2 linked regions of the Ovis aries genome follow. The protein of the gene in region 1 interacts with the protein of each later gene in a pairwise test. Links are inferred from orthologs where the notes say so. Each region holds a gene or a part of one and is shown on either strand. Other genes may lie near its edges.

Region 1 (3,808 bases):
ACATTCTGTCGGGGGGCAGGCAGCCCACGGGGTTTGGGCAGGCTGGGGGCAGCCGGGGTGCAGTGGAGCCCTGAGGCCTGCATGCGAGGGCCTGGTGTACGCCAGGGCCTGTGGTCGGGAGAGGGCGGTGTGGGCGCAGCTGCCAGGTTTGGGAGTCAGGCTCGGCCGAGGTGCCTGCAGCCGCCTGTGGGTCGGATGGGGCCCAGGGCAGGAGGGTGGCCCGAGCAGCGCTCGGCTGCCGCAGATGCCTTGGGCCGGCCTCAGGGCCGCTGTGACGGCGCCTCTCGCGTTGCAGGCGTGGTGTCCTTGGTTGCTGTCCACCCCTCCACAGTGAACTCTCTCGGGAAGCAGCTCCTGCCAAAGACCTTTGGACAGTCCAACGTCAACATCTCGCAGCAAGTGGTAAGGCCGGGAGGCTTGCCGTCCAAGGCCACGGTCTCGGGTGCGGGGCCGGTGCCGGGCGTCCCCGGCGCGGGGCTGCCTGCCTGCGGCTTCCCAGCCGCTCCTGCCTCTGCCCTCGTGGGGCCTGTGGGCGGTGCATGCCCTCGGGTGGGCCGGCTGCTCCTGGCCGGGGCTGGTTGCCTGCCCGGGACGTGGGGCTGACACTGGACCAGCCTCTCATGGGTTCAGGGCTTGCAGACGCAGGGCTGGCACTGGGCCAGCCTTTCGTGATTTGGGGCTTGCGGATGCGGGGCTGGCACCGGGCCAGCCTCTTGTGGGATCGGGGCTCTGCGGATGCGGGCCGTGGCTGCTCTGGCCTTCCTGGTTGGCGGGAGGGGTCAGACTCCCGGGGCCTCGCCCGGTGCCCCCCAGGAGCCCCGCCAGCTCCTGCCTGCAGGCTCGACGGCCTCTTCCTGATGCGACCCGTGGCCATGAGCGGTGGGGCGTTCGTGTCCCACCCGCGCCTGTGGCCTGGCCCCCCGGCAGGTGCGTGACGGCCTGTCGCTCAGCCCCACTGTGACGGTGACCGCGTTGGCTCAGCAGCTTTGCTGCAACACTCCACGTAGTGCGTGGAGGCTGGGGCCTTCCTGGAACATCACAGTCAGTGAACGTCTTTCTGATGGAAGCTATAATTCACGTCGTCTTATTTTGTAGGTGCTGTGTGTTGTTTCATAGCAGAGTCACAGCTGAGAGTGGCTCGGGGAGCGTAGGGACAGCTCTCGTGCTGTTTCCAGTTTAAATAGAGGGAGCAGGAGTGACACGGAGGTTCCTGTCGGTGTCCCGACCTTCAGCCCCTTAGCGGACGCTCCCCCACGGCTTCCCAGAGCCGGCTCAGGCCGAGCTCATCAGCCGGCACGATCTTCCCCACACCCCGGTGCCTCTCCGGCTGGGCACAGAGAGCTGGGGGTTCTCACAGGAGGTCGGTGGAAAGCAGTGGAAATCAGGGTGTGAGGGTGGAATGAGCACCCACAGGGCCCTCTGTGAGGCTGAGGTACCGCCCACGGGCATGGGGTGCCCTGCCCGCCCCCATGTCCCGTGTGGTCCAGGAAGGCCGCCTTGGGAATGCACAGCCAGTGGGCACCTGCTCTCCCTGCAGGGCAGCTGTGGCTGAGGGGGGTGTTCTCCGGGTGGGCGGGGAGCAGGCCCCAGCGGGGGGCCAGGGACCAAGGCAGGGGGTCGGCAAGCCTGGCCGTGGGCGGCGCGCCGTCCCGAGCCCGTTTTCCTGAGCGCTGGAGGGACGGCTCTCGAGGAGATGAGCCGTGACCCGGGGCCTCCTCAGCACTCACTCTCGAGGCCTCGGCTCTGGGGATTCTTGCCGTCCACCCTGGTCCAGTCTGGGACACAGGTGCCGTTTGATCACTTTCTAGAACACACGCTGTTTGATTTCATATCTCTTGAATGAGAGTGAAACGCTGGTGATGCTTTGATCATTGGGAACGTGGATTAAGAGACTGGGACTCAGCTGAGCTGTTTTCCCTTCCATGGTCTGGATCGCTGATATTCATAGGTGACCTGGGCTTAGGGGTGATTTGCAAAGTGCCAGGTCAGCTGTATCAGCGCTGCGGCAGGTAGCCCTTATCCTGCTAAGCAGCGGACCAGGGGGAGCATCCAGCTTAAAATAGCACAGCCGTGGCCCGCCCTCCACCGCCAGCGCGGGGGGCCTGGGCCTCCCACGCCGGTCACCAGGAAGCACTGCTTCTGAGTGGTTTCTGGGCTCAGGCACGAGTCCCTGGGGAGCCGAGCTCCTGCTTGGCTGGATGAGGCGGTGTGTGCATGCCCTGTGAACGCGGGGCCACAGGGCAGGGCTTCTGGGCTGCGTGTCTGTGCCCGAGCAGTGGGCGCCTGCCTCTGCCCCGGTGGCGCTGCACCCCACCCCCGCCCTGCGCTGGCCAGGGTGCCCAGGGCTCCCTGCGTGGGTGAGCGGGTGCTGGGGTCGCCGCAGTGAGCCCCACTGGCCCTGGGTTCTTTTCCTCTTCGTCTCCGGGGCTCGTTGCTGCCCCAGTGAAGCAGAGTCTCATCTCTGGGTTGCGGGGGAAGGAGGTGAAAGTGGGGCATGCGGGTCTCAGAGCTGTCTCCAGCCACCTGTGTGCAGCAGGCGGAAGGCAGCCAGGGCTCCGGGGGCTCTCGGGACCCTCCTCCAGCCTCTGGTTAACGACACTCAGCGGCGGCTGTAGGTTACAGGAACTGATGAGGCGGCAGTGTCATGCGTGGGAGATTCTGACTGTTCTGAATTGTCTCTTTTGACTGTAGGTGATTGGTACACCTCAGAGGCCTGCAGCGCCAAACACTATCGTGGTAGGCAGCCCACACACCCCGAACACTCACTTCGTCTCCCAGAACCAGCCTTCAGAGCCCTCTCCTTGGTCTGCTGGGTGAGCACTTGCCTGGAACACCCCCCACCCAGCCTCTGTGCGCGCGTGGGCACCAGCGTGCCGGAGGAGCCGGCAGTGGCCCCGCGGGCCCTCGAGAGGCCAGGCCGTGGGCAGCCGCCCTGGCTCCACTGAGGGCTGGGCTCCGGCCTCTAAGCGCACTGTCCATGCTGGAAAGTACCGTCTGTGGAGCCCCAGGAAACGGGTGGGTCTTCCAGCCTCTCCCCTGCTGCTAAACGTGGCTGTGGGCAGCCCCGTGCCGCGGTCACACTGTTGCCTGGATCTTTTCCTCCAAAAGCAAAGTAACGTGAAACAGTTTTACTCAGAGGTCAGCTGTGCGACTGTCCTTAAAGACAAAAAGCTACTCGTTCTAAAGCAACAACCATCAGTCCCCGAAACCCCCCAGTGGGGAACCTGGGTGGCCCTTCCCCTGATGTGGCGACTTAGAAGGTCAGGTGTTGGGTCTCCCTCCCAGCTGCCATGTGGCCTCGTCTCAGCAGAGCTGCGTTCGCCCCAAATTCCGAAATTTGCAGCTAAACTTCCGTAGCTCCTCACAGCCAAGGATGTTTATTACCAAGCACCGTGTAGCATCTGGACACCAGTCCTGCGTGTCCCGGGTCCTGCCCTGCTTTCCCCTAGACTTGAAGAGACGTGTGGGGCGCAGCCCCGTGGAAGTTTGTGCTGCAGCCTTTCAAGGAGGGGGGTCCCTGGAGGGGGGTCCCTGGACGGGGGCCGGAGCCAGGCTCCCACCCCTCCTCTGTTGGGCATGGCCCATGGGGGCCCCTGGCGGCACGAGCCGGCCCCCAGACGCGGGTGTGGCCGGCCCGCGCTGCGAGCTGAGGCTGCGGCCGCTCCGCGCTGTCCCGCAGGAAGCGCAACCGGAAAGGAGAGAAGAACGGGAAGGGGCTGCGGCACTTCTCCATGAAGGTGTGCGAGAAGGTGCAGCGCAAGGGGACGACGTCCTACAACGAGGTGGCCGACGAGCTGGTGGCCGAGTT
Region 2 (3,808 bases), on another chromosome or scaffold:
ACAGATGACAAAGAAAATGAAAGATATCCTTTAATCTGTACCCTAAAAAAAAATCTCCCAAAGCAATTACCTTAAATAGTAGGCTCAGCTTGGAAATTTAGTTAATATATTTAAGATACAAAACCAGACCTTTTGAAGTGAATGAACTGCTATAGAAATCATACTGAAACTGCCTTTCCAGTCCACCAGGCCTGACGCAGTTGGATGGTCATGCTCTTCAGTTTAGTGTCTCTGGGACCAAAGGGGGAGATTGTCTTTGATTCTGATCTCTCCCCTAGTCTCCTAGACAGTTTTGCTGCCGTGTTCCCCATGCAGCACCTTTCTGAGGTGTCACCGATACTGAGCTAGTCCACGTTTCAAATTTACTGAGGTTCTACACCAGTCAAAAACTCCTGTTTCCACAATACAGTTATTGGAAGGAAAGTAAATGCTGTCACTGGACTCAGTCAAAAAGGTCTGTGGAGTTAAAAAAAAAAAATGCTGGGGAAACCCTTTAAATCAGGTAAATGGTAAAATTTCAAGCAATACAATAAAATGAGAAAAATTCAGGTAGCAAGATGGAAAATAGTTTGGGATGAGAGCACTCCCATGAGTACGTGATAGTCCTGAAAAACTGGTTCTAAGTTGTTTCTACTACTAACAGATTCTTTCTCCCTTACATTTTAGGAGATTCTCATCAAAACACTTTTTTTCCCCTAGAGGTTCTCATAAGATGTAACAATGATAGGGAAAAGTACAAGGAGGTTTGAATACCTTCGTGTGGTGTCTTTGTTTTAAACACCCAGACTTTATTACTATTTTTTCTCCAGAAAGTGTCATCACTATCACAGTAGTATAAAAGAATTCTTTTGAGTTATATTGTAAAACACTTCATGAAATCCTAAGGATCGTTGATGAAATAGTAAGAATTACATATGAAATTATTTTTTAATCTCCACCCTCTGTTTAGAGACCCTTAACTGATTTTTACACTAGCATATGTGACGTATCAAGACATTCACAGCATCCAAGCCTTCTATGAACAGATTGTAATTGCAGTTAAAGCGCCGGCAGAAACCAGATTGGATGTTCCAGCTCCCAAAGAGGTAGGTAGCCCTGCTTTTGTGTGTGTGTGTGTGCATGCGCGCACCTACGTGCATGCGTGTTTGTGTGTGTGTGCATGTGCTTAGTTGCTCAAGTCACGTCTGACTCTTTGCCACCTATGGACTTTAGCCCACCAAGCTCTTCTGTACGTGGGGATTCTCCAAGCAAGAATTCTCCACCCCACCCCACCCCCCACTCCCGTTCTTAAGAAGGTTTAAAGGGAAACGGGCTTCCCTGGTGGCTCAGCAGTAAAGAATCCACCTACGGTGCAGGAGATGCGGGTTCAGTCCCTGTGTTGGGAAGATCCCCTGGAGAAGAAAATGGCAACCCACTCCAGTGTTCTTGCTGGAAAGTCCCATGGACGGAGGAGCCTGGTGGACTGCAGTCCATGGGTCACAGAGAATTGGACACAACTGTGTGACTAAACAACAACAAAGGCAGGCAAGCCAGCTGCGGCAGCTGTGCGTTGTTGCAGTCCCAGTAACTTAATAACTAGTGTGCATGTTAGCTGCATCCCTGATCCACAGCTCAAGGCTCTTCACCCATTTTAATGTGTTTAATGTGTTTTGAGTAACAGAAACTCAGTAGTCATGATTATTGTCCTCTTACAGATGAGAAATCTAAAGCACAGAATGATAAACTTTCTTACCATCATACAGTAAGTGAGAGAAACAGAATTCAAACCCAGACAGTTTGGTTTCAGAGTCTGTTCTTAGCCATCGTACTATCATGGGCTCTTAGAGGAATCACCAAGAATTGGCCTCAGTGTTAAGATCCAGTGTCAAACAGGGCTCTGGGGAATTAGCTCACTAGCCAAACTCATAAAAGACTCAACAGAGAAAGGAGGACTCTAAGTTAAACATTTAAAATGAAAAGTAAAATTAATGTGTGTGGAAATACTGTCCACTGCTTACAGGAAAGTTTGTGTTGAAAGATACTCGTTGAAGATGCGTGTTCAGGGTGGAATCAGAATCAAGGAGTGAGACCATTCTTAGGACAGATGGAGTGCTGAAGGCCTGATAGACTGAAGTCGTGCTGAAGTACTGAAGTTGTGTCTTCTTCTTTGCAATAGGGGACTTAACCTCCCTCAGTGAAGCAGCTCCTACCCACCTTCCCTTTTATCCCCAGAAGACCACAGTGCACGTGAGACCCTAGCTGTTAACTGGACAGTGTATGACAGACAGTTAAGGAGCACCTTTTGTTTATTCCAGTCACACTCAAGTTGTGACTTCGAAGTGATACTTCCTAGTGAGTGCTTCCTGTGGTTCAGTCTAAGCAAGTACATGATATTCTCAAATATATGACAGCAAAGAAACTACCTGGATGAGAATTTCCAAAAGTGTCCCTTGAAACTTTAACAGTTCTAATAAGTGAAAAAATGTAATTCATGAATCCTCTCATTCATCTTAATGCTTTCTGTGTCTTTTGCTAGGATTCTATCACAGTACATATCAGGAGCACCAAAGGACCCATTGATGTTTATTTATGTGAAGTGGAGCAGGGTTCCCACTCAAGTAATAAAACTTCGGACAGTGTAGGGACCTCTTCATCCAAAAGCAAGCCTTTGGAGCACCCTCAACCTGAGAAAGGTAAACAGGCCGATTTAAAACGATTTTTTAAATGTGTATAGTTTTACAAATGAATATTGTGAATATGAAAATTAATAATATAAAATGAATATTATGGCCTTAGAGGTATTTTTACTCTTCCTAGCTACAAAAACATGAGTTAAAAATTATGCTATAGTTGCTTACTGCTTCTAACAACCCTGTTGTTAAATCCCATGTAATTTTAATATCCGTGAAAAGTTAGAATGGTTGGTTTTGGAGTGTGGTCTCTGTAGAGCAGGCTGTCTGATCCTCTGACCCAGGCCCTCAGGCTCATGCTTGAGTCCTGGTTTATTATTCTTGTGAGACTGGAAACATTAGCCTTATGCCACTCACGTAAGAATATGGTTCTTGACTGAGGTCTTCCTATTTTATCTCGAAAGTTCTCTTAGCTGCCTGCCTTTGAGACCATCATTTAGGAAGATTTCTCCCGTGTTTGTTATCTTTCAGAAGAAAATCTTCCACAGCAAAGTGAAGAAGTGCTTGAAGTGAGCAACTGATGGTGTTTGAGGGTCCATGTGTTGAGTCTCTTGGACTCCTGTGTGGACGAAGATCCTCAGAGCAATAAATCATCCCTGCCATTTTCTCATGCTTGGTAGCCGCAAGAAGGCCAGGAATGCCTCCAAGCACTTTGCTGCTTAGATTTCTGGATAATGGCGGTTTCTGCATTTGAAAGCAGCTCTTTTTATAATTATTCACTGCTTTTTTGCCAGTGAAGCGGTCATCTTGCCTACTGAAATTACTGAATCACACAACTGTGAAACAGACAGGCAGGCAGGGTAGACAGCTCCTCGTGGACTCTGCCCTTTGCCGCGCAGATCATGTGTCGTCGTCACAAAAGTTGCCTTACACAGGGTCATGTCTGCGTGGACGGGTGTGTGCACGCACCTGATGTGACATCTTTGTACATATTTGTATAATGTCTAGATCACTTGTGAAATACGTCTTGAGTGAGACTGTTCACCCTTGTACAGCCAAAATAATGTAAATAGTGAAAGAAACAGACATATTCTCTTAATTTCTGTGGTCTGTCTATAACTTATTAGAATCCTCTGAATGAGCATTAGAGGAGAGTTTTTTCCCTAACTTCTACGTGTAGAAGTACCATAAATGTGTGT

What was found.
Region 2: the proteins of TFDP1 (region 1) and E2F6 interact in binary tests that used the Homo sapiens proteins (3 or more experiments, as listed by UniProt). The link is inferred for Ovis aries from reciprocal best matches to the Homo sapiens genes TFDP1 and E2F6.

What each region holds. Positions count from the first base shown.
Region 1 is NC_056063.1:86,062,641-86,066,448, forward strand, and holds part of TFDP1 (transcription factor Dp-1), read left to right. Parts: intron 1-295; coding exon 296-402; intron 403-2,691; coding exon 2,692-2,813; intron 2,814-3,679; coding exon 3,680-3,808. UniProt on the Homo sapiens protein: Can stimulate E2F-dependent transcription.
Region 2 is NC_056056.1:20,407,311-20,411,118, reverse strand, and holds part of E2F6 (transcription factor E2F6), read left to right. Parts: coding exon 1-24; intron 25-971; coding exon 972-1,085; intron 1,086-2,515; coding exon 2,516-2,672; intron 2,673-3,140; coding exon 3,141-3,190; 3' UTR 3,191-3,808. UniProt on the Homo sapiens protein: Inhibitor of E2F-dependent transcription. Binds DNA cooperatively with DP proteins through the E2 recognition site, 5'-TTTC[CG]CGC-3'. Has a preference for the 5'-TTTCCCGC-3' E2F recognition site.